2 linked regions of the Struthio camelus genome follow. The protein of the gene in region 1 interacts with the protein of each later gene in a pairwise test. Links are inferred from orthologs where the notes say so. Each region holds a gene or a part of one and is shown in the gene's direction. Other genes may lie near its edges.

Evidence for each region.
Region 2: the proteins of CASK (region 1) and TBR1 interact in a two-hybrid assay, tested with the Homo sapiens proteins (2 studies listed by BioGRID and IntAct). The link is inferred for Struthio camelus from reciprocal best matches to the Homo sapiens genes CASK and TBR1.

The regions. Positions count from the first base shown.
Region 1 is NC_090942.1:127,536,120-127,551,981, forward strand, and holds the start of CASK (peripheral plasma membrane protein CASK), read left to right. Parts: upstream 1-7,461; 5' UTR 7,462-7,526; coding exon 7,527-7,585; intron 7,586-15,862. UniProt on the Homo sapiens protein: Multidomain scaffolding Mg(2+)-independent protein kinase that catalyzes the phosphotransfer from ATP to proteins such as NRXN1, and plays a role in synaptic transmembrane protein anchoring and ion channel trafficking.
Region 2 is NC_090947.1:26,916,715-26,932,642, reverse strand, and holds TBR1 (T-box brain protein 1), read left to right. Parts: upstream 1-7,939; 5' UTR 7,940-8,489; coding exon 8,490-9,181; intron 9,182-9,567; coding exon 9,568-9,722; intron 9,723-10,048; coding exon 10,049-10,170; intron 10,171-10,553; coding exon 10,554-10,712; intron 10,713-11,658; coding exon 11,659-11,720; intron 11,721-14,032; coding exon 14,033-14,876; 3' UTR 14,877-15,018; downstream 15,019-15,928. Other genes in the region: PSMD14 (26S proteasome non-ATPase regulatory subunit 14), read left to right, coding at 1,225-1,287, 3,724-3,822. UniProt on the Homo sapiens protein: Transcriptional repressor involved in multiple aspects of cortical development, including neuronal migration, laminar and areal identity, and axonal projection.

The DNA.
Region 1 (15,862 bases):
TAAGTGGGGAGGCAGAGCAGAGTTTTGTCTCTTCTCTGAAGCTCTACACGATATAAAAAGAACATAGGCTGAGAAAATTGGGAGGAAAGGAAAAAAGCTGGGTAACAAGGAAGAGGATGAAGCACCTTGGGAGTGAAAAATGAAGCACAGGATAGAACCAAAAGGCTGAGAATATAAGAAATGTCTTCATAAGTCAGCCTAGCCCTACTTACCCAATAGGGTAGACGCTAGGCTCACTAACGTGGTCTTCCTGAGATAAGGCTCACGGTTTGCATTTCAGGTGTGCTGGCTCTTATGATTTCCCTGAACGTGGAGAAGTTGACCGCATACTTTGTGGTAGCGGAGGACTGTCTTTACACCTTTAAAAATGAAAACAGAGCAGTGATAGTAGGAGATACTATTTAGGAAGATCACGAGAGCCTAGCCACTATCTGCAGTCACTTCCCCTCCTACTTCCCCAGCATCCGCACTTGTCGTATTAGAGATGTTCCAGGGCATATCCCTGCCTATTACTTCTAGTATTTGTTTGTAATGATGTGTCATTCCTGAATTGGCCTAATCCCTTTTTGAACCTGATGATACTATTGGTCTCTACAGTCTCCTGTGGCAGCATGTTCCCAAAAGTTCACTACCCAGTGTGTATGTATATTTAAAAAAAAAAAAAAGTACTCCCATGTATCTGCTTTAAACTGCCTTCCTACTAGTTCCAGCGAGTGCCCCTTGCTTCTAGTATTGCAGGATTTGGCAATTAACAGTTTTACACTCACCTTATCTACTACCTTCATGACTTTGTAAATCTCAGTTGTATCCCCCTTCAGTGATCTCTTTGCAAACTGGTAAATCCTAGTCTTTTGACCTCTCCTGTTGAGGGAAGTGGTCCATCCCCAGGACACTTTTGTTGTCCTTCTCTGTTCCTTTTCAAATTCTGTTACGTCCTTCTGGACATGGAGGAGGCCTGAACTGTCCCAGTCCTTCAGCTGAGGGTGTACCAGAGTTTTAAACGGAGACATATGACATACTCACCTGTTTTCACGCCTCTCCAGATGACGCCCAATATTTTATTGACTTTTCGGCTGCCACTGCACCTGAGGCCATGGCTTCAGTAAACTGTCAGAGGTGACTCTGAGTGCTCCTTCCAGAGCTGTAACTGCCTGTTCCAAGTTCAGCATCAGATACAGATGGCATGAATTTAGTTTTGCTCTAGATGCAGTATTCCCTTCCATTTATCTACATCAAAGTTCCTCTGCCCCTTTTTCCCCACACATTGTTTTGCGAGGTCCTTCCGGAGTTCCTAGCTACTATGTTCTGCCAAAGATAGTGAGGGAGTGACAAATGCAAGAGAGAAGAAAAGGAAGATACGGGAGAAAACATATATTTTTTTTATTTTAATGCTGTATTTGGCATTTGGAGGTCTTCCTTATGAAGTGATTTTAAACTATTTTTCTGTGTATAGGTGCATGACTGTAGCATACGGTAGCAAATCTATGTTCAGGATAATACTGAAGAGAGGGCCTGAATTTTGACTTGTTTTTATTGCCTGTTTTTATTGCCTATTTTTATTCCCTGTACATCTTGTAAGAGCTTTTTACTTTGTTTTTAAGTCAATTAAAGGATCACATGGAGATTTCCACTACAATTCATATTACTTAATCCATACCTGACAATGAGGAAAAGCTGCAACTGGGGAGAGGAGAAATAAGTGTGTGTCCTTAAACTCTCCAGTAATTGAATCAGATTGTTCACAGGTACACAGCATACAAGAAAGGGAAAAAATGAATAGCTAACAAAGAAACTCTATTAAGTGAGGGCTTAGGCAATTTTTAAGTTTTCCTGTCTATGTTGCTAGTTATTCCTATATGGGACCGTTTCACCTTTGGAAGCTGATTTTGAAAGGTAACTGTGAGCTTTCTGGGTGTATCAGATCACAACAACCAAAAGCCACCAACATCTTTTACAAAAATCTGAATCTAAGCTGCAGGAAGACATGGGGAGTTCAGGCAAGGCACATTCACTAAGTTTTGGTTTACTGTCCTCAGTAGTGTTACTGTCATTAGTGGTTTATTACGACTACGGTCTAATCACAGACGAGGAACCAGACTTTTTCCCTTCTCCTTCCTCAGCCAAGATCTGGCTGATTACTTGACTTAGCATTCTCTAGCTGGGTAGCTAGTTTAGTATGGTGAAGGTGATGAAGTCACCCTGTTTGAAGGTCACTGAAAAAGAATTCTTTGTCCAAAACAAAAAAAGACAGTTCTTAGCTGGTTGCCTGAGGAAAAGACGCTTATCCTTTGCCATGTTCACATATACTTGCACGTCTGTATCTCTCCTTTCCCAAGAACTTTTGAACCTGTGGGCCAATGTCAATGGAGTTTGATGGAGACAAGGTACAAATCCCAGAGATAAGCTTCAACTGTCTTTTGAATATAGGGAACGGCAGAGAAGACAGAGACCTCATTACTGTCTTCACTGAGTACGGGTGGCAGTGGAAGTTCACCTTTCATTAAACAATGGAGAACTCACATTGCAGAGGAGCTTGAAAAGCTCCAGTAAGGAGAAAATGCAGTTAGAGAGAGATTTTTCTAGACACACATACCATTTACCTGTAAGATACACATTCACGGGAAAGGAGGCCTTCTTATTTCTGGTGTGGAACTGCTTGTTCAATGCATTACCTTTGAGTTCAGCTGTTGCAGACTGCTCTGCCATACATTCGCTTTCCAAGCTGACTTAATTACATACTTCTGTGAGGAGTTATCCAGACTTATTCAGAGTTGGTTGATGGCTTTTTAGGATCTTCCTGATACAGACATTTTTGACAAGGACTGAAAATGTATATGTCGTGATCCAACTATCACCTCTTTTCATTGCAACTTAAACACATTTCTGTTGCCCAAATTATGAATTGTCAGGTCATAGAATTTGCACTCATAAACAATATGGTAAAGTTTGTCAGAAATGTGGTAGGCCTCTAAAATTGTCTTATGAATCACTAACACTAATCACTCATCTTTAGTGTCAATATCATTCTGAAACCTCATAATGGGAGTGGATCAAATACACAGGTTACAGATCAAAGTACCAGGAGCACTACTATGCTTAGCATCTCGGTTATCAAATTTGGTGCTTCCTACAGTTTTTGGATTACAGACTACTGTCAGCTCCTAGAATTTCATGTTAATCACCATGTACCTTTTACAGCATGCTTTTAAATGAAAACACTATAAAGGCTGATCAAATGTTACTCATAATTATGGTTCTATAAACAACCTTTGAACAACTTATTGTTGCTTTGTGGCTCACCAGTAGTGAGCCATATAGGCTCACAGACATACAGGCACACCGTAAGAAGGCCACAGCCAGAAAAAATTTGGAAACCCCATAAAGTTTTATGAAATAGATTTTCTAGTGCCCAAACCCACACTTAGCTATTTCTTACGACTTTAACATGAAATTTTGAATTAAACAATAGTGGTTTGCCTAAAAATATAACACTGTAAACTGGCAGCTCAGAATCTGACTGACAAACAGCGCAAATGCCTGCAGCGGGTTGGGGAAGGCAATCAGGGATGATAAAGCATATCTTTTCTTTCAATAGTCAGTGTTCTCGTTCTTCTGTGTTCCCTATGAAGAAGTGAGTACATCCCTCTCCCAGTCCTGCAATGGCTGATGCGCTGAACTGTTTTCATCATCCTTTTAAGCAAATCATTCCAGGTCTCAAGCGTAAAGTTTTTTTCTGCTTGTATTTCAAATAGAATTTTGTTATATACTTTTTTTATGAGATTTCAGATGTGTGTATTTCAGAATTCAACCTTAAGCTTTTAAATCAAACCCATGTCTCTTGTGGCTCTTGAAATCTATCAAGGAGATATATTGGATATTCGGGTGAAGATTATTAACACCTGCCTGTGAAAGGGCAAGGGAATGACCACTTTCAAACTTGGGGATGAAATTCATGATCACAAACATACCTGCATGTATATTGCCTGGATGATCATACTTATTGTTGGGAGTTTGCTGCTGACAAAGTTGACAAACTGACACTCTTATTTTCGTGAGCCCAATCAATTTGAATCTAAGATTAGCATAGATACAGATTATCGCATAGTTCTCATCAATCGTAGTAACTTCTGACTTAGTGATACCCTTACTGATTCTGCTATTTTTGTAGCAACTTTTGATAATACAGATCTGCATATAAATCCTAGATCCTGCTTCAGACAAATTCTTTCTTTTCACCCAAGTCAAAAGTTAGCACCCGCTTTGGTCTTCCTCCTGTTAAACGAGGAGATCTGATATATTTGCAGCCTTTGATACTTTTGTCTTGCTTCTTGCAAGCCCAAGCAATGAATGCCACAGCCACTCTAATAAGAGTGTCTTAATTTTGTTCCGCAAAGAAACAATTAGGCCATTAGGTAAAAAAGAAGCCATCATCCTCCTTCCTCAAAGGTAGTAGGACCCTTCAAGCAGGCTAGACTCTAGGGAACGAATCGCCTATCATAGGGAAAGTCCATTTGTATTAAGTGTGCTCCCAGAAACTACCTTCCCAGGACGATGACTCTGACTCTCTCTGCGCTGAGACCTTGTTCCATTAGGAAACCATGTTTACGTGTTCCGCCATCTCACGATGGAGCCAGCTGCCCTCCAAGGTTCTTAAAGGGTTTGTTCTGTTATAACAATTTGCCCTGAAGCTCCCCACATAAGCACTATGCTTAGTACTCTTAGCGTTTGGCTTTGTCTGTCAAACGCAGGTGACGTAGCCTCGCGTACCTCTTGGTGCTCGGCATTCAGAAGGTGAGACCTCTGTGAAGTGGTGCTGCTAGAACAGAAAAAGCATCTGCCTCAGCTGTGGAATGGATCTGCTATTTCAATATGCATTTTTCTTCTTTGAGTGTTCTTGTATCAATTATTCTTGCCAGCTTCTAATAATGGCCCTGCAGATAATCAGATGACAATTTCTGTTCAAAATATAAATGAATGCTCATCCATATTCTGCAACTTCTTGAGTTTAACACTGTGAGGGTACTACTACATGGTTGTGCTGGCTTCAGAAAAGTGAAAGACAGTTGCTTACATGTTTAGCAGTGTGAAATTCAGGGAGTAGACAATCTAACTATTGGCTTTCTGTTTGCATTCTAAATAGCAGATGATGTTTAATATTTTTTATAAAGGTTTGTATGGCTTAGAGCATAGTCTCACGGGAATGTCTCTCACCGCATAGGCTACCACCGTGCAGGAGATACGTGCTATTATTTCCACAGATTCTCTTGATTTGTCTTTTGAATTTGTCTGGAGAAAGGAAGGAGGTGTTCTTGCCAAAGTGTCCTTTGTTCTGCATTTTAAAGCTAATCTTTAAAGCATCTCATCGGATAATTTTGCTTTGACAGGCTTTCTCCTGTGCAGGGGAAACAAATGCATAATTTCCCTTTGTGTTAATGAGTTTTAAGAAGTTGCATGTGTGCTAAAGTACTTCAGCAAAAATAAATATTTCCATAAACTGCAAAACACTTCCTGGATAATTCCTTCAAGAGCTTTGCTTTTTTCTGCAAGCCATCTAATTCAAACATTGGAAAAGCACAGCTAAACAACTTAGTCTATCTTTTGTACAGAATTTCATTTAATGGGTCAAAAGTAACAGAACAGAATGTATCAAGTAAGTTATGTTTACAATTAACTGAATGTCTAGTCATTCTTTTTAAAGGGTTATTCAGAGAAGATTAAAAAAAAAAGCCACGACATATCTGCCCAAAGGAGAAAAAGTACATCTAGGGACACTCTTTAAAAAGTTCTTTTAATTCACTACTTTGAGGACTAGTAAGAAGGTGGCTGTTTTCCTAATAACGAAGGGGAAACAAATTATGCTACAGAAAATATCTACATCCTCCTGAAACTAATAGACTGGTAGGAAAAAAAAAAAACACACTCCACCTGGACAAAGCTCTAGAAACGTTCTGCGTAACTGTTCTTTATTTCTACAACCAAGTCCGTGAAAACTAAAAAGGACGCCTGTCCCTACCGAACACGCGTGCAGCTGAAACGCCTCACCTTTTCCATAAATAACAGCATTAACGACCCACGGCAAGTGGGGAAACGCTCCTCTCTTCCCGCACCTGCCTACACATGAGGCGCCCGCCAGCTCCAGGCCCTTGCCTTCCCTCCGGCGGCTGCGCGCAGAGCGGTGCGTGAGGCGCCAGCGACGCAGCGACGGGGCCAACGGCTGCGCGCGCGGCACCACCCGCCACCGGCGCCGCGCGCGCAGTCGTTGGCTCGCTGCGAGCTGGAGGAAGAGGCGGCGGCGGCGATACCCCCTCCCCCCACACTGACGACGGGGGAGGGGGCGGCTTAAAAGATAAGAAAGGTTAATACCTGAACCCCGCCCGCCCACTCGCCTCCTCTCCTCTCCTCTCCTCTGCCCGCCGCCGCCGCCGCTCGCCCCGCCTCCGACGGGCTGCTCACTCCCCTCCCCCCACCCCCGCACCGCACCAGCGGGCACTGACAACCACCCGCCGCGCCGCGCCGCGCCGCGCCGCCCTCCCCGCGGTATGATGTCATCGGAGCCCGCGCCTGCGCACATCGGGCCGCCCCCAACGGCCAGTAGGCGTGGCCCCGCGCACGACTCTGGCGGGGCTGGCGTGGGGGTGGGGAGAAAAGCGAGCGGAAACGAGCGCAGCCCCCCGCGTGCGTGCATGCGTGCGTGCCGCGCCTGCTCGGCCTGCCTGTGGAGGGTGCGCGCGCGCCGCGGCGGCGGCTTTGCGTGACGGTGTTTGGGAGCGCGCGCGCGCCCGCCCGCCCGCCCTCCAGTAAAGCAAGCGCCTATCGCGGCCGCCGCCGCTGCTGCTGCTTCTGCGCCTCGCGCCTCGGAGCGTAATCAACCGCCGCGCCGGCAACTCCCCGCCCCTCCCCCTCCCACTATTATCCTTCTCTCTCCCTCCCTCCCTCCCTCGATCCCTCCGGGCGCGCGCGCGCGCCCCCCCCCCCCGCCCGCCCGGCCGGGAGCGCGCGGCCGCCCGCCCGGCGAGGGAGCGAGACGGCGCTGCCGCCTGCTGCCGGCCCCTCTTCCCTCCTCGCCGTGTGGTGCCGGTCCCCTCCATGGACCTCGCGCCGCCCCGCTAGCCAGAGCTGCCCGCTCGCCCGCCCGCCGCCGCTGGGGAGTAGCCGGCTGAGAGGGGGAGGGAGGGAGGGGGCGGGAGGGGGGTGGGGGGAGGACGAGGAGGAGGAGGAAGGTGGGGTCGCGGAGTGTGTGACACGCGCGGGGAGCGGCGGCGGCCGCGGCCCGCAGGAGGAGGCGCCGGGAGTCCCGGCGCGGCCGTGGGAGCCGCCGGGCGGGCGGCGGCGGCGCCCGAGGAAGGTGGCGGCGGCGGTGGGAGCCGTTGTAGCGGTTGGGATTTACCGTGGTGGTGGCGGTTGGCGCTGAGCGGCAGAGGAGCGCGCCGCGCGGCGGGGATCGTGCCCGCGGCCCGCCCGCCCGCCCTCCCCCCTTCGCCGGCGCCGCCGCCGCCTCTCGGGCTGATCCCCCCCCCGCCCGGACCATGGCCGACGACGACGTGCTGTTCGAGGACGTGTACGAGCTCTGCGAGGTGATCGGCAAGTGAGTCCCGCGGGCAGTGGGAGACGGGCAGGGCGTGCGTGTGCGCGACCGAGCAGAGCGGGGGAGGAGGCGGCGGGGGCCGCGGTAGCGCCGTGCCCGGCCCCTCCCGCGGGGCGCGGAGGGAGAGGGATGCTCTGCTCGGCACCCACCTGAGTCGCCGCCAGTGAGTCCGTGCGTGCGGTGTGGGGTCCGCGGCCCCCCTTGTGCTCGTGGCGGTGACATGACAAGTGCCTTCTCCGCGCTGCCCACCTTCTTTATTGCGCGGGAGGCGGAAGGGGGAGAAGTGACCCGATGTTTCCTCAGCCACCATGATTAACCGCCTAACCATCACTCAGCCTGGCTGCAGCAACCACTTCCCACCCCTTTTCTTCTCCTCCCCCCTATATCCCGTTCCTGGCACACCCATCAACGATTGCCTATTGGGGAAGGGAAAGGAAAGGTATCTCTCTCTGTGGATCCACCTATCCACTGGGCGTCTGCGTATTTGTACGCCAGGTGTTGGGTTTTTTTCTCTTTCCTTTACTGCATGATAACCGGCTTGTTAGTGGCGGTACTAGTCACACTCAGGTAGTGCTCAGTTGCCTTCCACCCTCATCCGTGTGGAAATAAAGATGTATCGGGCAGTAAGAGAACTTGGCCTTTTGAGTCTTATTATGCAACCGCTATTAAACCAATGTTCAAGGCTTGTGTCAAACCTAGCAGTTGAGGTAGCTGCTAGAATTGCCCAGCTGCTCGTTTTGGGTCACTGCTTTGATTGGTGGATGAAAATGACAGTCCGAGTGTCAGTCTTTGTATAATCACGCCAAGGAAATGAAGAGAATCCCAAAAATCAGGGGACAATCAAGAATTAAAGCTAATTCCCCCCCCTCCTCCATTGGTTGTGACTCTCCAGTTTTGAAATCCATTCTATGTTTCTTTGTCATCTTTTGTATGTCTTCTGTAGTTGTGCTTGTGTTGCGAAATGGGCATGAGAGGTGTACCAATATTGTGACTTCCTAATTTTCTGTATGTTTCTGATTCAAAAGCAGAGATTGCTGTGGAAGCCCTAATAGTGATTCTGTTTGGAGTGTCTGCAGTTTTTTCTTCGTGACAATGAATTTTATAAGAATAATTGGTTTGAATTTAAACCAATAATTTTTTCTTCCTACATTTTCCTGTCCACTCTCCACCAATATGCTTTTCAATTGCTATATCAAGAGCTGCCTACTTGTAAAGTTAGGGCTAAAAAAATAATCTGAAATTAATCTTTCCACAGAATTATACTAAAATGCTGGTCTTGGACTTAGCAGGTTACTTCATTGTCTGCAAAAGTTTCAGCACGTAGTTCTGTCATTTAACAGGTTATTAGCTTTCTGTTAACATAACCAACTTTCCTAGAGATTGAGCTGCAACGGCCTTGTTTACTGGCATAAACTGAAGTGATTGCTCTAACTTAATGCTAGTGGTTTGGTGAAGAGCTTCTGTAGGAGAGAAACAAAACCCTGTTATTAAACGTGTTTTGAAGATTATTTTTGGCACATTTATTTCACAAGTGGTTTTATGCTAACCACTGTAGTTCGCATACCTGATTTTATTCATATCTGACTACTGTTAGGAAGAAGGTGTAGTGGTTATGTTTAATGTGACTGCACATCCTTTTAGAGAATGGATCATTCACAGGGATCCAAACGTCTGCACGTTTCAAAGGGCTTTTTGTTTTGTGATCAGAGAATTTTGAAGAGAGAGCGCAAAAGCTGTGAGTTAGATATTAGCTATAGAAGTTTCACATGACGTTTTTGTAGTACAGGTCGCATTGGGATGTAAATCAATCTAACAAATGTTAAATCAGAGGAGTATAATGATGCCAAGCGCACTGTGGCAAAAACAGAGTGGGTCACTGAAAACAGCAGCAGTGGTGATGTGAAGGATTATATAGCTCGTTGTTAGTGCTGATGATCTTCTGCACAGATGTTATGTGAGTCCTCTAAAAACATTTGAAAGAAATACATAGTATCATATACAGTTGTTTAAGCAATATTCTTGTTTCTGTGCAGCACTATGAAGGATGCCTTCCTAGGGACCACGGATGCAATGTTTTTAGTGTCTTTTACGTAGCGCTTTGCTCATCTTCAAGCAACTTGAGGAAGACTGCTGTAAATCTGCTTTGAATTGCTACATATGCATCTTACTAAACATCTTTCAGTGAAACATCAACTAAATGTCTCCATGTTTCTGTGATTTATTATTGATTGATACAGTAATTCAGTTCTTGCAGATAACATATCTGGCCCTGATTTGCGTTTCAGATGCATGAAATATTTAAATGTGTAATTTATCTTTCCTAAATATGTAGTTACCGCTGTCATTTTAAATAGATAGAAAGATATTTTCACAAAGGGTGTGGGAAAGAGATTTTAGACTAAACATTCCATCATTTTGTAGTCAAACTTGTAAGAGAAATCTCTCAGTTCTTGTTCTGTTGACTTTAAAAAATAAGTAATCTCTGGGAGATAGTATCAGCTGGGAAACTCTGTGGTCCAGTTTGCTGAGGCTTATTTTAAACTTTAGATTAACAGTTTTAAATACAATAAACTGATCCAAGTGATGGACTTATTTTATATAAACACAATGACAATAACTTCTGGTGTGCTGGAGTGTATAACAATTACAATGTAGTAGTATATGAATGAATTTACTGAAATGACAGAAGGATAAACTGTTTATTACATGGCATTTCACATGTTTAAGTTCTCTATGCATGCCTTTTTCATTTTGAATGGGTGAAGGAGAAAAGGGCCAGGAGGAACAGAGGGAAATTTTAGTTCATGTTTCCTCTAGAAGAACTTAAAGGCAATTTTCTTTTGCCTATATTGGCAGTATAACTTTCAATTTCTGGAAGCTATACAGAGTTAAAAGTTAGAATAAAAACCCCAATTTCTTGTTAATCTTTATTATACTTAAGTGATATTCTTTGAGATGCTAACATTAGTCATGTATTTTTACTATACCAGATCTGTTGCATTCTAGGTTAGTGCCTTTCTTCAGACTTGATTGACACAAACTCACTTCAAGCAAGAGTAAATTGGGAAGTTTCTGTACTACCCTTAGAAAATGTGTTAACATGTCTTGGGATAACTGGTGGTGATGTAAGGCGCAGGCATGGCATTTTTTTCAGACTTGCTTAAGGACAACCTTTGAGGAGACTCTCTCTGTATATTGATTGAGAAGTACACAAACTAAAATATTGAACCCTTTCATAACATTGATCATACAGTGCATTAGATTCACAGTTTATAATAGTGTTAGATGTATTTCTTTATTTTTGATACGCATTTTTAATCAGAATGCATTTAGTATTTCATGAAGTTTAGTGAGTGTAGAGCTGAGTATTCGTCTGACGTTAAAACTGTCCTAAGCTTATCGTAGGAGCTGTGTATGCATATAGCAGTAGTTTTGTTTACGCCAAAAAGAATGTCTGTCTTTAAGTTGGAATAAATATAGTTGGTACTGAATCTAGAAGACTGAAAACTGGCTTTTATAGTAGGGATAGTTTTGTTTCTAGTCCTTGTTCTGTTTATTTCATATTACCTGTTTTTGACTTATGCACCTCTTAAGATTCGTGTTGACTTATGTTAGCATTGAGGGAGCAGCGTAAAGACTACTCTTTCTAACAGTAGAATTGCAGATTGCTTTCAGAGTAGTTTGTATTGGGATGTTTCTCACCAAATTATTAAATTATAAATATTATGTGATAAAATGAATATATTTGTGTTAAAATGGGTATTGGTCGCAATTGAAATAATTTGTCTATCACTTAAACTCTTTAGTTATGCAAATTTTTTTACTTTTGTTTTCCATTGCTGGACCCTATATATGTGAAATTGTTGGTATTTTTAGTACCAACAAACATTGTGACGATTGATGTTAATACTACTGTAATTTTCAGGGTGTTCTTTGCAGTGTGACTGGATTCAGAGTGGTCCTTTTTTTGCACTGAACGCTGAGAATTTTTGTTTGTTTTCATCCCTCCTGACTCAGTGATGGGATGATTCTCTCTGCTTGGCCTCTTCTGTCTAGCAAGAGGAGCTAAAGTACCTAGAGGCTGGAAATGTTCCTGTCTTCTCCAGCTTCCCAGCAGTTCAGGAACACTACAAGAAGTGTGCAGGTAGGAGGAGGGAAGTGAGGTCTTTGGGCAAGGAGTGGACAGGGGATTTTTTTGCATTAGAGTTTCAAGGCCTGTATCTCAGTAAGGTCATACAAGAAGAGAGTTGCTGTAATTCCATCTTGAGCTATTATCTTGAGATGAAGATGCTTTAGATTTATGTCCCAGTGAAGGAACGAGTAGGGAAGGGAGGAGAGAACTCATGGATTCCTTGTCCAAGACATGTGCTAATAACTTTAAGTATTGTGATAACAAAACGGTATAGAAATAGTTTGATGCTTTTGGTGATGCTGTTCATCATCGTTGCCTCCATTTTCTCTGCTGGAGAGTGGGAGTACTCTTGTGCCCCAAATATGCTTTTTCTCTAGGACACTACTGAAGCTTTGCATCTCCTGTAAAACGGATGCAAATAACAGATGGGTTTAATTTTGACAAGCCAGATGAAAACGTGAAACAACTGCAGTATGCACTCACTGTTTGGAAAGGAGAGAGAAGGAAGGGAACTTTTTGGGAGTATGGAAAGTGATAGGTCTAATTTAGCTACTGAATTTCTTATTAGTCTAAAGTACTAGTGTACTAACAAAACATATTCCCAACTGGTTTCTGTGTTAAAGTAAGCATTTAAGATGAACGGATGAACAAGTTGCAATGAATATTTGGTTTAAGCATGAGGTCATAGTAACGTTATTGCTTTAGGAAACTAACAGATTATTTGAAGTATCTAGTTGCTAGAATATCTGTTTAGCTAAGGTACTATGATAAGGTTTCTAACTGTGATATTGACCTATCTCTGCCTATGAAGTTTTCTCCAACTGTAACTAAGCAGAATGGAATTATACTATTTAGTTGCAGAATACCTGTTTATCAGTACTCTGCTTTCCACTTGTTCAGCTTTTTCTAGCGTTCTTTTCTGTGTTTGTGTTTCATTTTCTGCTATATTCTTGCATACAACCTCATGATGTAAACAAGATGGCTGTAATGACTGGGAAGTAGAGGCTTTGTAAGAGGGCACTGTGAAGGAACTTAATTTGATCTAGGAAAATACGAACTGAGAAAGATTGTAAGAGCTTTGCAAATATATGTTTGTGTTTAAACACTCGAGAAAAGGCAACCCTTGAAGGTAATAGCAGATGAGCAAATGCGTGCAAACTAGTCCTGAGTAATTTTAGACTGCAAATTAGAAGATTTTTAAGCCAATTTACTACCAAGATACTGGAGCAGATTTGTATGAGAAGTTATGGGACAAAAAGCCACCTTGTTTTGAAGAATTGCTGAGTTTGATCCTTTTTTAGAATAGTATGAAGCTTCGTTGACTTCAGTAATTAGGTCTAGGCTTTGGGACCCAAGTGATCTCTGATGATCATCTCTCTTCGCAGTGCTTCATCTTAAAGAAGGATAAGGAAATATTAGGAGAAAGACAGACCTACGTATTATGTCAACAAGCACTCCCCTAATTAGCCCACTGTCCGATGCATCTGGCTTTTTATAATCCATTGTATAGATATCGTGATAATGAAAGGTAATTGAGCAGTATTAACCCTAATATGGTATTTGCAAAGATCGCTTTTCAGAGACCTGTAGTCACGTTGTGTGTGCCATCTAGAAAATGTTGATTTCATAATTGAAAGAGGTTAGTGTTTAAAGTATATATTTTATGCCATTAATAATAGTAATAAAAAATCTGAATCTTACTGATTCTCCTTTTTTCCAGGGATGAATAATATTTTTTAACATACAATATGAAAATATATATGCATGACCGAAATTCTCATTCAAAGTCATTTCAAAAGTTAGACTGACCCCTTAAGATAGTGCAGCAGTTAGCTAATATGCCCAGCAAAAAGAACACCAAGAAACCCATTTCATTTTCTTTGCATATTTCACATAAATATGTAAAAAGATACCTAGGTAAGGCCATCCAAAGCATGGAAACAGAGAGCCTTCACTTCAACTTATCTGTAAACTGAACTGTGTTTTAGAATGTGAGATTAATTACTTCTTTTACTAAACTTCTGCTGTATTCAGAATGAATTCCAGCATTTCTTGGGAGATGCCCATTGGTAAAATGAATGCTTCCCTTCCCAGAAACAGAAATGCATAACTAGTTTCTGGTGTTTCAGTAACAACAGCGTTACTAGTTTTTAAGCCCTTTTCTCACCCACATCTTTGCTTTTTTGAAATAAAAATAGCTGAATGAGGATTGGAATAATATTTGCAGCTTGATATTTTCTTTCTACTAGATGTTTTGACAGCAGGAGAAGGAAATGTTTCTCCTAGATTGGATTGCTTTTCTAGTTGTTTCTCTGAAAAGATTCCTCTTCTTCAGCAAGTCTTTGCTGATTATGATAGGCCTCTGTGTATAACTTGTAATTCTTCGTAATGTAAAAGATAATTGTGAAAAGGTTTGGGTTGGCTGCAGTCCGAATGTAATGAGAAAGGAATTATGACCAGAATGGACTTTTTACCTCTAGACATTTTCAAAAGTACTTTTCTTGAGCATTTAGTCCCCCATTCTCTGTAGGTTCTTATACCATGGCTTTAGTATCTGAACAGCAAAGTGACCTGTGTGCATGTGATACTTGTTTTCCACTTTATTCCCCTGGTAAGTGAAGTGTGGTATCATGTCATGGTTGTTTTGTGCATATGTTATCTTTTTAACTGTGATGGTATGTTTATTGTGAGATAAGAAGGTATGAAACATTCATCTTATTTTGGGGACTCTAGGTGGCAGTGGTTTTACTTGTGTTTTTTTTTTTTTTTTTTTTTAATGGTCATTGATTCCCAAAGGAATTCTTTTTTCATAGTCTCTTAGAGATACATATAAAATAGTCTGTTGAGCGATCTTTATTCTTCCTATAGCAAGTTTCATTATACTTGAGGATTAAAACTATTGACTGCTATCATACTCTTTGTAGAGTCTTAAGCAGTTTGTTAGTTATCCTGAACCCAGACTGTTGGCTATTTTGAAGATTATGGAAGTCTTGAATTTCATTCCAATTTATGTGGAAAAGCACTGTAGAAATGCTTACAGGAGCTTGTATTAATGGGGAGATGCATCCTGCAGCTTTCTATAACAGTTTAGGTTTCTGAAGATGTACTGATTTCATAGCCAGATACATACGCATTACTGTAGTGCAGTTAAAAGGTTATTAAAGTGTGAATATGTGAGGCCATAGTGTAGAGTCTCCAAGCTAATAACATGCTCTTGTAGTGTTGCTTTTTGAAAACAAAGTATCTGATTCCAAAGGAACTGTCCAGTTATTAATATTCCTTACTAATGCTGTAAATTCTTAAGCTTTTTCTTTCTATTAATTAACATCATATCTGCTTTGCTTGAATATACCTTCAGCAAATTCTTCCTCTTCCGTGATCTGACTCTGTCCAGTAAACCTTGCTGAGCCTTTAAGTGGTGAAGGAGAGGTAGATTTGAGCATCATTTGTAGATTGGTGGCTTCGAGCCTGTATCATCTGAATGGTTTGCCTGGGACTGCATATAGCTGTTGAGGGAGAATTTTGTTTATGGTTTCCTTAAAGTACAGGGAGTGAATTGTTATCAAATGAGTAACTTGGATGCTGAAAACAGAGAGACTAGTGGAGGAAAATGGAGATGGTAGTCTCAGTCTGTTGTTCAGAGATGGTCAGTTAGTGGAGACTCAGTGGCAAAGGGATACCAAACTGATAAAGATGTCTCTCTCTTGGTTGAAACAGGTCTGTTCTTTTCTGTGGCATTCTTGGTTCTAGTTATTCAGGTGTTGCTGTTAAGGATAAAATAAGTGAAGTCTTATTGACTGTGTTTAGGGCTCGGTATTCTTAGTATTGATAACTAGGTCAAAAATAAGATCTGGGATATGATTAATTTTGAGCGGTGGAGCAAAACTGTCCTGTGATAGTCCCACAGAGAGAAGTAAGGAGATTGCGTTTTGGGGCTTTTGCATTGCAACCCTACCGATATCTTCTGAAGTAACACAGGAAAAGGTGTCAGCTCTTTTACCGTTGTTTCCAAAGCTGAGCCTCCTTTATGAACACTCGAGTGGTGGTTATTAAATGAGCATAGCATCTGTTTCAATTCTGCTGTTAGATTAAGGTGTTCAGATGTTGTCTTTGACATGGATTTCATTTGGTAAGGTAAGGCAAGG
Region 2 (15,928 bases), on another chromosome or scaffold:
TAGACTATAGAAATGAAACAATCATTGCAGGAACTCTTTTGGATCTTGATGCTTGTTATCATACCAGTTTTCAGGATTAGGAATTTTATGCTTGTTTTATATGATCTGTTTTCAGCAAAGAGTTTCGTGAGGGACTTGATTTGGTTAGATTATGCACAAGTACGGCTATAATGGCCTTGTGGAGACTGTATTCCCAAGTTATTAATCAGCTATATATCACCTATTAACTTTTGTGAAGTACCAGGATAGCTCTTCGATCTTTTTTTTCCAATCTAAACTAGCAAGAAGTTTATATGTTGAGCTTTAAAATGGGAATAATCACATCAATTTTGTATTTGCCAAGATAATGTACAGCTCCTGTAGCTCAAAGTGAGCAATTGATTGTATTCTTCGTTCCTTCAGTCAAGGACTACTTGACCAGTCTTCAGCATAGTAGAATAAAGGTCTATCCATATCATCCCATTAGATAGATGGATAGACGTTTACTCATTGTAGAGCCTAATTCCATGTTATTTTAGATAAAGAAAATATTGCTTTTGTAAGGAAGAGGAACCACAGTTATTTGTACTGTTTTAATACTAACATGCTTTAAAAATTTGTTTAGAAATACTAGGTCTCAACAAGCACTCTGTAAATAGTAAGCATGTCAGTCATTCTTAATATTATACAAGTACTATTTTTTAAACTTCTTGCTTTTAAAACAACAAAAGTCAATATTGCCTTTACTCGGTAAGTAGGCCCATTTACTTTATATGGACACTGCATTTGAAGACAATAGAACGTTACAAAAATATATTAAAATAGGTGACTCAAAAAGTACAAAAAGACTTACTGAAGATGAAACCTGCAATAGCTGGAACAACGTGGGTAACATTATTTTTGATTTTCGTGTTATTGCTTTAACTATCTTTAACCATCAATACCCATCATTTAAGACTTTAACATAAATCAGTTTGGTGAATACATCTTGCTTATCTGACAATAAAACCGTTCATGAGTATTCCCCTTGATCTTTTGCACTAACACTTAGTAATTAAAACCATGTCTGCTGAAAAGCTGAAGTACCTTTCCTTTTGACTTTCTGAAATGTGTTGCTGTTTGATTTTTTTTTTTTTTTGAGAGAGAGAGTGAGTGCAAGAGAGAATTATATTTTAAGAATCTTGTGGCTTGGGGAAAAAGTAAACGAATTCTGAAACACTGACCTTTTCTGTGTTTCTTTCACAGGCTGTTGAAGAAGAAGATAAGATGACACCTGAACAGCTGGCAATAAAAAATGTTGGCAAGCAGGTGAGGTGCGATGAATTAGAGTGAGGTGGAACGATAAGCTTGGTTCATTCTAAATATTAATTTCCTTACATGTGGATAGGTGATTTTAGTTCTATGTATGAGATATTCTCAACTCTGCAAATAATTGATTTATTTTTGCTGAATATTGTTGTGTCAGGAGCAATTGGCTTTTGACTTTAGGTAATACGGAGAATACCTGCGAATCAAGTTCTACATGCATTACATGCTGAGGAGTACTATTCAGATATGGTAGTTTTTCTTTTCTTTTTTCGTACAAGGAGAGGCATAAAAATATCTAACTCTTGTTTTAGTGTTATGGAGAGGCCAAAACCATGGGGACTTAAACACATAAACAAACAAACAAAAAGGCAGGAGGATGGTTTATGCATTATCACGGCTAAAGAGCCAGCTGACCTCTGTGCTCGGCTTACACTGTGGATGGATGCTTAGCTCCAGTACATGCTTACATAAGCTGCATTGCTTTGTATTGCTGTTGAAGGAAAAACAGTTTAGGACCATATCTGAAATGGAGAATACCTACTCAATCCAATCTATTCCTTCAAAATATCAGGATACAGTATCCTTATAGAGGACTTGACAGAAAACTATTTCTACATTTAATTTGAATTTAAAAGTTGAGGAAAGGTACTGTGATGGGAGAGAAGAGAACAGAGATCAGGTTGGTAAGAGATTGTCTTAAAAATTCAAGAATGGCAATGGAAACAATATGTAGCTTTAAAAACATCCAAAAGTTCTTAAAGAACCAGTATTTATTGTATTGTTCGTAGCAGTAGAATTTAAAGGACTCTGGATTGCTCTTGTATGTCAGCTTCTGGCAGCTGTGTCAAAACGTATTTGTAGTATTGTTCAGTCACTCGTGTATTTCTGTAGCATTCAGAACAATGGCCAAAAAAATCTGTATTATACCTGTATATATACATATGTGTGTGTATTTATGTGCACCTACACATACATAAATATATAATAAAACATGTAGGAAGGGCTATATTTTAAGGGTTATGACATCATCTCAAATAGAACCTAAGCTTCATTTGTCACTTAAATTATTACGCATATGTGGAAAAAATCTTTATTTTGATTTTTTTCCTCTTTAAAAGTTTTTTCTGATAGAGTTCCAAATGCAACAATAAAGTTTAGAGATTGTTCTGAAATGTGCCTGTAAATTTTTCAGTATTTATTGGGGATTAATTACTTAAACTCAGTTCTGAAAAAAATTCTCAATATGGTTAAGTTTACAACCAGAGATAATCTTATTATTCTTTGCAACTGCACAAAAATGCCCACATCAATTGAGTGATAGTGTGTGGGGATGGATATTTTCAAAATGTTGTTCAGGCTTAGCATTCAGATTTGCAAAACATTTGAATAAGTTATTAGGCTTTTTTAAATTTTTGGTAGGAATAAATATGTTAATTTTCTTGCAGTTAATAAGACTATTCAAAGACTATGTGTTAGATTGTTTGAGTCTCTGCAGGATTAGAACACAAATTTGTACAGGATCTGAAAATATGTTGCGCCATACCAGAACTAGGTTTAAACCATTGGCCTTGTTAAGGTGCATACTAAAATACTCATTGACCTGCACAGAATTAGGATTTCATCTAAAATTTTATTAAAGTATTTCATATGGCCTTATTTAGTTGATTTACAATAAGGGTATATCAGCCTGTAAACCTTTGTGGTATATATTTTGATTTACATTGAAGAAGTATTAATTCCAGCTCCACATGTTTTTGCTTTTTTTTCTCTTCCCAGGAAATACCTGTGTAAATACATCAATTGAAATATTAATCCAGAATAACTTTGAAGAGCTTTTTGTACTTGTTCTCATGTTTTGTAGATTAGATAGTTTTTGGTATGTAATTTTATTGCATTCATGTTGCATCAAGAACATATCCATATCTAGATACTGGCAATTTCACAGAGCACTACTATACCAAACTTAGCACATTGAAATAGCTAGTTGATACCAGTAGAGTATTTTTTACTCCGAATTACTTTGTATGGGTTTTTTTGGCTTTAATGGACCTGACCTCTTAAATTTGAGACCACTGGCAGACAGAAGTTCTGGATAGTTATTAATATAATTAATAAGAGCTTTACCAACACTGAGGAGACAATTCCAAATACTTTGTGCCATCCTGTAGAACTTACAGCTGCCAGGATTTCTTTTCAGATGAGGATAGTTTTAGGAAATAAATTTCTATCCAGCAACTTCTCTGAATGACAATAAGGACTAATAAAATCTTACTTATGGAAATTCAGTCATTTGCCAGGTTAGTTGGAAAGGAAGGCTTGGGAGCTTCACTAACCTATGTTCCTTAATTCACAGTCTTGTTAAATAGAACTGAAATATATGAAATCCTTCAGTGATATGTTTTAGTCATTTGTCTCATGGCATACTTTGTATTTCAGGACCCCAAACGTCATTTAGAAGAGCATGTGGATGTGCTGATGACCTCAAACATTGTCCAATGTTTAGCTGCTATGTTGGATACAGTTGTATTTAAATAACCAATTTACTGTTTGTGATGTTTTCTGTGTATATTTGTTTATTGTTTCTAATACTCACAAACCAGAGACTGTTGAGGCTATATTTGATTAAACAGAGACATCTGACTTCATTTGCAATGTAAGTGCAGCACAATAACACCTTCAGTCTCTTAATTGTGCAGTTGCTTCGGTTTCTTTATGTCAGGGTCTTTACAGATTCCAAAGCAATTCAAGAACACATTGCGGGCAAAATGTATTACATTTTCATTTAATATGGGGTTGGGGGGGGGGAAATCAGTAGGACATATATATTTTGATTGTTGCAGCATAATAAAAATACATTTACAAACCTATCTTAAGTTCTGGAAGGCCTTTTTTTTGAAAGTCGGAAATTAACGGTGTAGGAGAAAGCTGTGCAGGTAAAATCTTGACTTTTCCATCTACTGTAAAACTACTGAGATATTAATTAGTAGGACAGCAAAAATTCTCAAATGAAACTTGCCTCCCATTTACCAAATACTCTTACTGACACAACAAATTTGTAGTAGCACTGAATTCAGAGGACATAAGAAACAAAATACTGAAAATTGCTATGACAGTTCCCTTTTAATATTGTTCAAGCCATAATATCAACAGAAGACAATTGGCCTTAAGAAAATGAATTCAACTATGCTGATAACCAAATTGCACAATGCTCTCACAAACAGGGTCATAAATAGCTGTTTTCCAAGAATAAACATTAAAATAGCAGAGGCTGTTCTAGATTATCAGATTATCCTTTGAAAGCAGGCCTGACAGGAGGGAAGGTGTATAAGATGTCCACATACATATATGTATGAGTTCCAACTGGAATGCGACATTTAAACCCCTTTCCACTGACTAGAGAGGGAAACATGGGAAGGTGGATGGGTTGACTGTTGGGTTTTAAGTAGACAAAGCCAAGTAACAAGGTTTGGGGGAGTGTGTGTGTGTGTGTTTTTTTTTTTTTTTTTAAGTATTGGATGATGATTAGGCTGATTTGATTCTTTAGTCTGATCAGGAGTGTTCTCTTTCTGTTCATGCACAGTATTTTTTTTACCTACTGGAAAAAAAAATTAATAAGCTGAACTAATTGAGGCATGTGATCATTTTAAAACTGCTACATACATCCCGTTTTGTTAAAGATGATTTTTAAGTGATTTGACTCATTATTTGCATAGTGAAAAATAACCCATAACATTTTGTCTTATTTTTGTAAATTGTGTCCGGTAATTTTCTGCTTATTGTTCATTACAATTCAAACATTTTCCTTTTGTTTGGAATTTCATATTTAGGCCAATTTACTATTTTCAAATAACTGGCTCAAAGTATATTTAGCATGCATTTACTTCAGAGGGAAACAAATGCCGATTTTTTTTTTTTCAGCTTCCCTCCTTATGGCCTTCCCCCTGCTGCCCTTAGTATGCAATAGAATATGACACGGGGAAAATGGAGACATAAGCTACGTTTGCTTAAAAAGCTCCATCTATTTAAGTGGAAGTGCTTTCTGGTAACTTGCACCGAAGACCATGTCACTGGTGAGCAAGGGTGCGCTCAGGCCTTGTAGCTGCCTGGAGCGCGGTACACCCGCATCCAAGGGTAAGATGGGGCAACACCTGGGGGCTGCACCTGGATATTGTCTTGCAGGAGGCCTCCACTGCCACTAGATTGTGGCAGTGCCGCTAGATCCACACACACGCATCGCTGTGTGAGGTGGATGTGTACCTTGACAGGTCTTAAGTCACGTGGCATCGCAGACCAAGAGAGCAGCTCTTGCAATGTATGGAAGGGCAGTGTAAGCAGGAGCCAAATCAGCGAGCCTTACGCGTTCTAAGTTAGTTTTGACAATTTTCCATCTTGCAGGGGGTAGCTGAAGGCAATCTGGGAGGAAAAGCAGATGTCCTGTAGCATGGGCTTGCACTATAGTACTCTGCTTTCTGTCCAGTGCGCGGTTTGACTTGGAGGCACAGTTTTCCCTTTACAAAGATGTTGCGTGAATAACCACAAGGCTGTGGTTTGGGGCATCTTTCTTCCTTTTGCCTGGTATTTTGGGAGATACACAGAGCATTTGGAAGTGTGCATGCATGCAGTAACCTGAAAAGCAACAGCCCATATAGCATCTTGGAGGAAGAAAGAGGTTTCCAAGCAGCCACCTTCTGAGCCTCCAGCCACAGTAGAGCAGACCTTCATTAACAGCTTGACCCCTCGTCACCTGTCAGCATGCAGGACTGGCATATTGTATTAGCAAGCCCCTCTCCTTCATTCTATGACAATTCTATAACACCACCTGCCATTGCATATCCACCTATTATACCAGTTTAGGAGCTGTGCACACTGAAGATTTTTGGCATATATTAACACTTCCATGTGATTGGCAGTATACCACTGAATTCACTGCAGCTCTGCATGTATATGGGTTTAGCTATGTAATTTAGGGCAGCATTTCCCAGTGTTTATCTGTGTTTTGACCCATCTCCTGCCTGTATATCTAAATCCATTATCTTTCAATCAGTTTCAAGCAGGGGAGTGCAAGGGTGGAAACGCTAGTGAAACAAGTGTCAGAAGCAGTAGTTAATGCTGCTATTGATAAAACTATTTTCTTAGCACTGAAAGCAGGTATGGTTTGGGAGGTCGCATGCACTGTACCAACAGACTGTGAGTAAAACGAGTAAACTTGTGCTCGCTTCTGCTTCATAAAAGATGATTAGAATAATTTCTTTGCAGAGAGCAGGTATGACAGGCTTCCATGAAATGCCAGATAACTGCACTAGATCACAGTTAAGCAACAGAAAAAAATTATTAGATTGCCATGAGATTTGCAAGTGTGGAAATGCACGTTCTGAAAAGCAATCTGGGTTCTACCTGGGAGAAGTCCCAGGCAGAGTTTGCAGAGTTTCAGTGTGGCTTCAGCTGAATACGTTTTGGGTTTGATTTTGTCACGGGATGGCCCAGGCTGCATGGGCCGTCAGTGGAATTTGAATCAGGCTGCTGGTGTGAACTGAAAAGAGGTGTGATCTGCAAAATATCTGAAGTCCCACCAGCTAAGGGGAAAATATTAACAAAAATGCAGCAAGAGAGCACCTCCCCCGGCAAAAATCAGTGCTTTTAAAACTCATAGGCTTGCCTAGGAAAGGAAAATCGAGGACGCCGATGCTCAGGAGGCATAGCAGAGGCCGGGGGGACGTGCAGCTCTCCTGGCATATCTTCACCCCGCGGAGGATCCTGCCTTCAATTAGCGCAGAGCTCACAGGCACACGGCGCGGGGCCCGCCGGGCTGGGGGCAGGCGGGCGGCCGGGGGCCGCTCAGCGCCGGCGCGGCTGGGTCCGCGCTGCGCGGAGGTGCGCGGGCCTCGCCCCCGCTCCGGCCCCAGCCCCCGCCGCGGCCAGCCGGGCTGCCCCGCTCCGCTCCGCTCCGCCGCCGCGGGGCCCCGCGGCTCCACGGCCCCGCCGCCCCCTCCGGGCGCCGAGGCTCGGCCTGCGGCTCTGGCGGAGACGCCTGGAGTCCGACGGGGCTGGCGGCTCCGCGTGGCGGTGAAACGGTTTGGGCTTCTCTCCTGCCGTCCTAAATCTCTTCCCTGGGAAGAGACGTCTGGGCAGCCGACAGTGCGTTTCCATGCGGCGAGGTAATCGCTTATGACAAATCTATTACAAAAGATCTCTCCTCTCCTAGCGCTGTCTGTGTGATGGAGTCACTGAAGGAAAACAGACATCGAGTGGAAAGAAATCTGGAGCTGGATGGGTAGATGGATGCCTTCTACGGTGTTTTGCTGATAATCTCCGGCATTACAGCACGCAGATAAAATATTTATTTACTAAAGAACCCGTAAACATCACGGCAAATACATTAGGGCACTTCGGCGGTACGGCTTATAATTATTTCAGAACTTAAAAGAGGTGATACGTTGTCGCTGTGAACGGAGGCAGCTTGCCCGCAGTTTAATGGGGACGGGCGTTTTATTTCCCCCCGCGGAGCGGGCACGGGGGCGGGGGAGTTGCGCGGGCGGGGGCTGTTGGCCGCGGCGCGGTGCTGCGCGGCGCTGAGGCCAGGCCGGCGGCGGCCGCGGCCGCGCTGCCCCTCGCAGCCCCGCGGGCAGCGACGCCGCGCCTCGCTCGGGTGCCCGAGGTCCGCAGCACCCGGTCTCGTCTCTGCTGCACAAAGGGGCACACACGCAGTATTTGGGGAAATGTGAGGCTTCGGGTTTATTTCCCAGCCATAGCCATAAAAAATAAAATAAAAAAAGAAAGGTCACGTAATAATGAGCCCTTATAGCAAACACACACTTCCCTTCCCCCCTCGCCTTCCTTCTCTCTCACAATAAAATCATCCCCTTCAATTTGCCATGATCGTCGCGACCAGGAGCCAGGTGATTATCCTAATTAATGTCTATCTAATTAAATTACTGTCAGCGGTTAACCAATGGCAGAAGCCGTTTCATCCTCTCCACAAGCAGCAAGATCAAAAGTGAGTCTTTCCTGATTGCTGCATAGTGTCAATTGGCCAATCTCTTCTCCCAGGGAAAAAAAAAAAAAAAAGTAAATCAAACGTTTGGGAAGCATTTGGTGGATGAAGTGCTTTCTGTCTAGTGAGGGTCCCAGGATGTCTAGCTTCTGATACTAAGGAGCCCTTCCAGAACCAGGGACTGAAGGGTTATTCCTGTGGTGCTAGAGCTATGCAGCTGGAGCATTGTCTTTCTCCCTCTATCATGCTCTCCAAGAAATTTCTCAATGTGAGCAGCAGTTACCCACATGCAGGCGGATCTGAGCTTGCCTTGCATGATCATCCCATTATCTCGACCACTGACAACCTGGAGAGAAGTTCACCTTTGAAAAAAATTACCAGGGGGATGACGAATCAGTCAGATACAGACAATTTTCCTGACTCCAAGGACACACCAGGGGACGTCCAGAGAAATAAACTCTCTCCCGTCTTGGACGGGGTCTCTGAGCTTCGTCACAGTTTCGATGGATCTGCTGCAGATCGCTATCTGCTCTCTCAGTCCAGCCAGCCCCAGTCTGCTGCCTCTGCTCCTAGTACCATGTTCCCGTACCCCAGCCAGCATGGACCTGCACACCCAGCCTTCTCCATCGCCAGCCCCAGCCGCTACATGGCTCACCATCCTGTGATCACCAACGGAGCTTATAACAGCCTCCTGTCCAACTCTTCTCCGCAAGGCTACCCCACGGCGGGCTACCCTTACCCCCAGCAGTATGGCCATTCCTACCAAGGGGCACCTTTCTACCAGTTCTCCTCCACCCAGCCGGGGCTAGTCCCCGGCAAGGCTCAGGTCTACCTGTGCAACAGGCCACTCTGGCTGAAATTTCACCGGCACCAGACGGAGATGATCATCACGAAGCAGGGGAGGTAAGCCACCGCGCGGACCCTCGGCGGGGGACGGGGCCGAGCCGGCGGGCTCTGCCGGGGGAGCCGCCGGGCTCCGCCGTGCCGCCGCCCCGGGGGAGCCGCCGGGGCCGCGGCGGGGCCCCTGCGGCGGGGCCGGGAGCGCCCGCTGTGCCGGCGCCGGTGCCTGCCGGGCAGCGCCCGCTGCCTCCCGGAGGGTGTCCTTCCCCGCTGCCCTCGTCCCTTCCCCATGGAAAGCTCGACGTTTCGGGGAGGGAGTTTTTTGATTTTTTTTTCCCGGTCGCTCCTAGACGCTCTGAGGATAATGCACAACGGGCTGGTTCCTCACTGTATGTATCGCTGGTGGTGGATTTCCTTTTTTTTTTTTTTTGTTTTTCTCCTTTCAATAGGCGTATGTTCCCTTTCCTAAGTTTTAATATTTCTGGTCTCGATCCCACGGCTCATTACAATATTTTTGTGGATGTAATTTTGGCGGATCCCAACCACTGGAGATTTCAGGGAGGCAAATGGGTTCCTTGCGGCAAGGCGGACACCAATGTACAAGGCAAGTTCCTCCAATTAACACTTTTCCCGACACATATGTAGGTGAGAATGATTAATTAAAGCCTTTGTGGACTGGCTCAGGCGACTTCTTAAACGGGAATGGGCCAATGATGCCTTAAAAAAAAAAAAAAAAGGAGGGGTGGAGGAGACAGTAAAAGGTGTTCGGAAAATACTGTTTTAATCCTGGTCGGCTAAAATGGAGGGAGTTTCGGCAGTAAAATGCTGCTAACTTTAATGGGGTCATTAGACCCCGTGCTCTGCTGCAGTGGCAGAACTGGGCTATGCGGGTGAACTGTGATGTGGTGGTGTTTTTGTTGTTTTGCTTAGGAAATCGTGTGTACATGCACCCCGACTCCCCCAACACGGGTGCCCACTGGATGCGTCAGGAAATCTCCTTTGGGAAACTAAAACTTACAAACAATAAAGGAGCATCAAACAACAACGGGCAGGTCAGTGACAGAAAAGCAGATGCTCTACAAGCCTTATTTTTGTTGCTTTAGACAAAATCCTGCAGTCTTCGTTCCGACCTGTATTTTCATAGATCATGTTGTTAGGTGAAAAAAAAACGGGGAGCGGGTAGATAAAGCCTCCTCTTTTCTTTTGCTAATGGCCTTGCAGGCGCTAAGTGCCTTGCCCAGTCTCACTCCGTTGCTAGATGTCGCGGGGAAGCCGGCAGCCGCGCGGGAGGCGGCGGCGGGTCCTGGGGCGGCGGGTCCGCGCCTCGCCGCCCGCGGCAGCGGCTCGCTCCGCCGCCGCGCCGGGCTCCCGTCCTTCTCCCTCTAATCCCCTCTTCTTTCCCTGGCCCCCTCCCTCCCTTTTCTTTGCCTGACAGATGGTGGTTTTGCAGTCCCTACACAAATACCAACCCCGCTTGCATGTGGTGGAGGTGAACGAAGACGGGACGGAGGATACCAACCAGCCGGGCAGAGTGCAGACCTTCACCTTCCCCGAGACCCAGTTCATAGCCGTCACCGCCTACCAAAACACCGATGTAAAGAGCTCCCTGGTCTATTTCGCTCGCGGCCGGGGCACCTCGGCCCGGCCCGGCCGGCCGCTGCGCTCGCCCCGCGCGGGGGCTTCTGCGCCCGGAGATGGGTCTTCCTATCTCCGGCCTTAAAGTTGCCATTTTGCATCGGCCGCCGCCGCGGCTCGCGGCTCCCGAATACTAGGCGCGATCTGCCGGCTGCAGATGTCTGCGCTTTTTCGCGTTTCCCCGGATAGCCTCCCGTTAGACTCCCGGCAGCCGGGACCCCCCCCGAGCGGGCTGTTCCTTGCCGAGCTGGCAGCTTCCTTGAGAGGCCAAGCGGAAATTCTCCTGGCGTTTAGACTGCTAAAACTAGAGCCCGATATTTATCTATGGATTTTATTTTCCTGTCGGGAACAGCTCAGTTAGCTGGTAGAGCTTAAGCTTTAAAACCTGCAAAAATCAATTAACAACCTCATTGCCTGCACTGGGGGTGATGGCACAACTTCCTCAAATTAAAATCTCGTTAATGTATGGCTACGTTTTGAAGTGATCTGTTTTTGCTATAGACTTATGCCCTCTATTTTTTTTCAACTAACATATGTTCGGTCCACATTTTTGCTTTACTTATTTTGGTAGACGCAAATGTAAACTCTTAGCTACCGTTCTGCGATACGTTTTTTCCCTCGTTTCTGGGTTTAAGTGTATTCAGCGCCATGCAATACGAATAACTACATTTCTGAAAACATTGAGTTAAATAGTAATTTTTATCGTAATTTTGGGAGATTAAAATAAATCTTAAAATTCGACTTTGATCTCTGAAAGCATGCTAAAGCTTTGTTTTCCACATTTCAAAGAGAGGCCATTTGATCGACTTAGAGTATTGCATGGTGCTTTAAAAAAATGTGTTGGCTGTACTCGGGTGTATTTTTCGGGCTTTCATAACGTGCGTTCTGGTCCTCTGCTTCTCTAGATCACACAACTGAAAATAGACCACAACCCTTTCGCAAAAGGCTTCCGAGACAATTATGACACGTAAGTAAACTGGATTTTTATTACCCTTCTGCCGGCTGCGCACGTATGTCAAAGCGGGAGGCTTTAAGGCGCGGATTGGGCTCATTTAAAACTGAAATGTGTCATGTCAGGCTTTTTTAGAGCCCTTTGAGGGGGAAGGAGGCACTCGCAAGCTCCCCGGACGGGGGCGGAGGTGCAGGGGCCGCTCAGACCCCCGTTGGGCCCCGCTCCCGGACGGCTCCTGCTCTCCGCGGGGCCGCGGTGCTGGCGGCGGCGGCGGCGCAGAGCCGCGGCGCGGGGCGCGGAGGGGCTGGCGGTGCGGCTGGGCTCCGCGCAGCCCTGCGCAGCCTGCGGGCGCCTCCGCGCCTGGGGGCCCTTTTCCTGCAGCTGAGCCTGTATCTTGCATTGGCACTTGCGACGGTTTGTTGTTGGTTTTCCCCGGCATTTATCTGGGCCCCCCTTTCCAAGTTTCCGTCTACCCACTTGCGCGCCAGGGCTCCGAAAGAGGCACCTGTCACATGCGGACTCAGGCACTGGGCAAGCCGCCTCGTTTGAATAATCCCGGGCTCCGCAGCCCCCAGTGTCCGGAGGAAAATCTCTTCGTCTCGTTTTGATCTTCTCTGGGGTTGGATTTTTGTTTTCTCCCCTTCTGGGTGGAGCGAAAGACTCCGAAGTTTTCCTCGCGGCTTGCCCCGGTGCTGCCTCTGCTCGAGCGCCCAGGGTCCGCCTGTCTCACCGAGGGGCTTCAGCCCACCTGGCCGGGCGCCGGCTGAGCCGAGCCGGGCGCGGCCGCAGGAGCTGGGCGCCGCGACACCCGCCGGCGGCCGAGGGGACCGCCCGGCCCGGCCGGCAGCCGCGGGCGCCGACGGCTGCTGCTCGCCCAGCCGCAGGGCTGCGGCCGGCCTGGCACCCCCCTTCCCCCGGGCCGGCCGACCCGCGGGGCACGGCGGGCACCGGGCAGCCCCCAGGCCGCGGGGGAGCGTGCGGCGCTGGGGCTCGCCTGCCCCACGGCCAGCTCCAGCTCTGCAGGACGGGGCGGCGGCTTGGAGGGAGGAAACCTCGGTTTTTCTCTCTGAACAGGCAGCTGGGAGCGGCCTCCCTTGCAGCGCTTGCAGAGCGCTTAAGCCCGCGCGTAGCTTCAGCGCCTGCTTAAGTCTCCCTCTGCTCTCGCCGCAGTGCAGCTCCCCCCAGCAGTGGGATTTCAGTGCGACGGTGGGGACGATGCCGCGGCCTGCAGCGGTGCGAGAGGGGCCCGGGGCCGAGCACCGGCTCCCGGGGCCAGGCGCGTCTGCGCCCCTCGCCGCGGGGCGGGGGTCACGGCGGGCCGGCCGCGGGCAGCCGGCCGCTGCGGCGGGGGACAGGCGGTCTCCAGCGCCTCCGCGCTGCTCCACCAGCTCCGCGAGTAAGATGCGCGGCCTCTAAAAGGGCTCTTCGTGGCCTTCACCCCTAGCCGCAAGTGCTTTTCCTCTTGTTAATAGGAAAAACTTTATAGGGCGTCACTTTAGAGGAGACGGGGGGAGGGGGGAGCTTCAATGTTGTCTAGCACGTTGAATTTGTTTAAGGGCCAAGTTTATTTTGGATAAGAAATTCCAGGAGGCGTGGAGGGTTAATTAAAGCACAGTTTTAGCCTGAATTAAATACAGATAGTAGTTATTCATCCATTAAAGTTTTTATAATCGCAAATTGCAGCCCAGCATGGGAGAATTATATATAGGCCACGCAGGGAACACTGGTTGCGTCTGGTTTTACATTTCCTACAGTAGGTGTTTAAAGATTAGCTTAATTTAAACTCAGTAAAATGTTGATGGTTCGTCTGTGACTCTCAATAATAAGTGTTAAACAGCCGATATAATTCTGTAGTCTGCCATTCATGCTGTTCGCTACAAATGACCGGGTTGCCTGTTGCGCATCTGATGGGACTGGTCAATGTGTCACAGTGCAGCATTTCCCGAGATACCTTGAAAAGCCGTTGGGATGCGGAGCTCAGATACGAGCACGATACCTCCTCCCTCTGAGCGCGAACCTGTTACACCCAGGCGCGCTGCGAAAGAGTCGCTTGCGGTGCTTTTTCTCCCCCTCCCGTCCCCCCGTTGCGGCCCTCAGCGCTCCCAATGCTGGAGGCCGAGTGCGAGAGGGAGCGCACCAGCCGCTCTGCGGGGGTGGCGCTGGGGGGAGCCGGGCCGGGGCCGCAGCGCCGCGTCCCGCCCGGCCGGGCGGCGAGGCGAGGCCCGGGGGCCCGGGGGGCGCGGGGCGGGCGCCCGGGGCCGAGGCGGGGTGCCGCAGGGCGCCGGGCCTGCCGCGGACACCCAGCTCTCCGCCCTTGTCTTTGGCAGGATCTACACGGGCTGCGACATGGACCGGCTGACGCCGTCCCCCAACGACTCCCCCCGCTCGCAGATCGTGCCCGGGGCCCGCTACGCCATGGCAGGCTCCTTCCTCCAGGACCAGTTCGTGAGTAACTACGCCAAGTCCCGCTTCCACCCCGGGGCAGGAGCCGGCCCGGGGCCCGGCGCCGACCGCAGCGTGCCCCACACCAACGGGCTGCTCTCCCCACAGCAAGCCGAGGACCCGGGGGCGCCCTCCCCGCAGCGCTGGTTCGTCGCCCCCGCCAACAACCGCCTCGACTTCGCCGCCTCCGCCTACGACACGGCCACCGACTTCGCCGGCAACGCGGCCACGCTGCTCTCCTACGCGGCGGCCGGCGTCAAGGCGCTGCCGCTGCAGGCGGCCGGCTGCGCGGGGCGGCCGCTGGGCTACTACGCCGACCCGTCGGGCTGGGGGGCGCGCAGCCCCCCGCAGTACTGCAGCAAGTCGGGCTCCGTGCTCTCCTGCTGGCCCAACAGCGCGGCGGCGGCGCGCATGGCCGCCGGCAACCCCTACCTGGGGGAGGAGGCGGAGAGCCTGGCCCCCGAGCGGTCCCCCTTGCCGGGCGCCGAGGACTCCAAGCCCAAAGATTTGTCCGACTCCAGCTGGATCGAGACGCCGTCGTCCATTAAGTCCATCGACTCCACCGATTCTGGGATTTACGAGCAGGCCAAAAGGAGGCGGATCTCCCCCTCGGACACCCCCGTGTCCGAGAGCTCCTCGCCCCTCAAGAGCGAGGTGCTCACCCAGCGGGACTGCGAAAAGACCTGCGCCAAGGACATCGGCTACTACGGCTTCTACTCGCACAGCTAGGCGCGGCCCCCGCCCGCCGGCACCGCCGTCTTTTTGCACAATAACTCCTCCGCGGTTAGCGCACTGACCCCCGCCCCTAGCCGCCCCCTCGCACCGCCCTCGCCCCCGCGGCCCCGGGAGGGAGGCCGAGCCGTAGCCGTAACCCACCTCCTCCCTCCCCGCGCCGCGCCGCACCGCGCCGCGCCGCCCCGGCGGAGCCCCGGGGGCGCGGGCGGCAGCAGCCGCTCCGCCGCGGGCGCTCCCTCCACGTCTCCGAAACCCACTGATAAGTAGGATGTGTAGACTCTCTCAAACCGTGCAGCGCTTCCTTCCTTTTACCACGGATGGATAACAGGGGATACTAGTAATAGTGGGGAAAAAGAGCCTGTGAAATGCCTGTACATAGTATTTAAGTTATTGTAACCAATTGCTTTCCTCTGGTTTTGTTTCTTTCTTATTTGTTTGAGTTTTATTTTTGTTTTCATTGTGAAGTCACAAAACTTAGCTCTTGTTTGAATTCCTTTATTCCTTCCCCCTTCTTTTCTTTCCTCCCCTCTGCCCCGCCCTCCCCAGGTAAACACTCTTTCTAAATGCCTCTGGAAATATAGAATGGTCCGTAGCTGTAGCCGCGAGTAATGGGTTTCTCACTTTCTCTGCAATTCCTCGCATGAAATAATTACGCCGTGCCCTGGGCTAACACAGCTAAGAAATAGCTGAGCTTTCCCTTCAAAAGAACAGAAATAACTCTCGTAGGAAAGTCGATTAAAGTAGCATGACGCCTTCCAAAAGCAAAATTAGCTGCCTCTGTATTTTTCTTTAAAAGGAATAGCTCGACATCAGCAATACTATTATTTTTGTGGTATTCCTCCCCCCCCTCGCCCCCAAGTGCCAAATCCATTACTGGTCCCTGCAGGTGCCAAATATGCTGACAAACTCTTTTCAAATTTCTTTGCAGTTTCCCCCTCTTTCTTTATATTGCTGTAAATCTTTGTAATGAATAATCTAAAAAAAAAAAGATATAGACGACTGAATTGTTGGTAACCATAGTGTAGTCCAGTGAAGATGAATTGTGA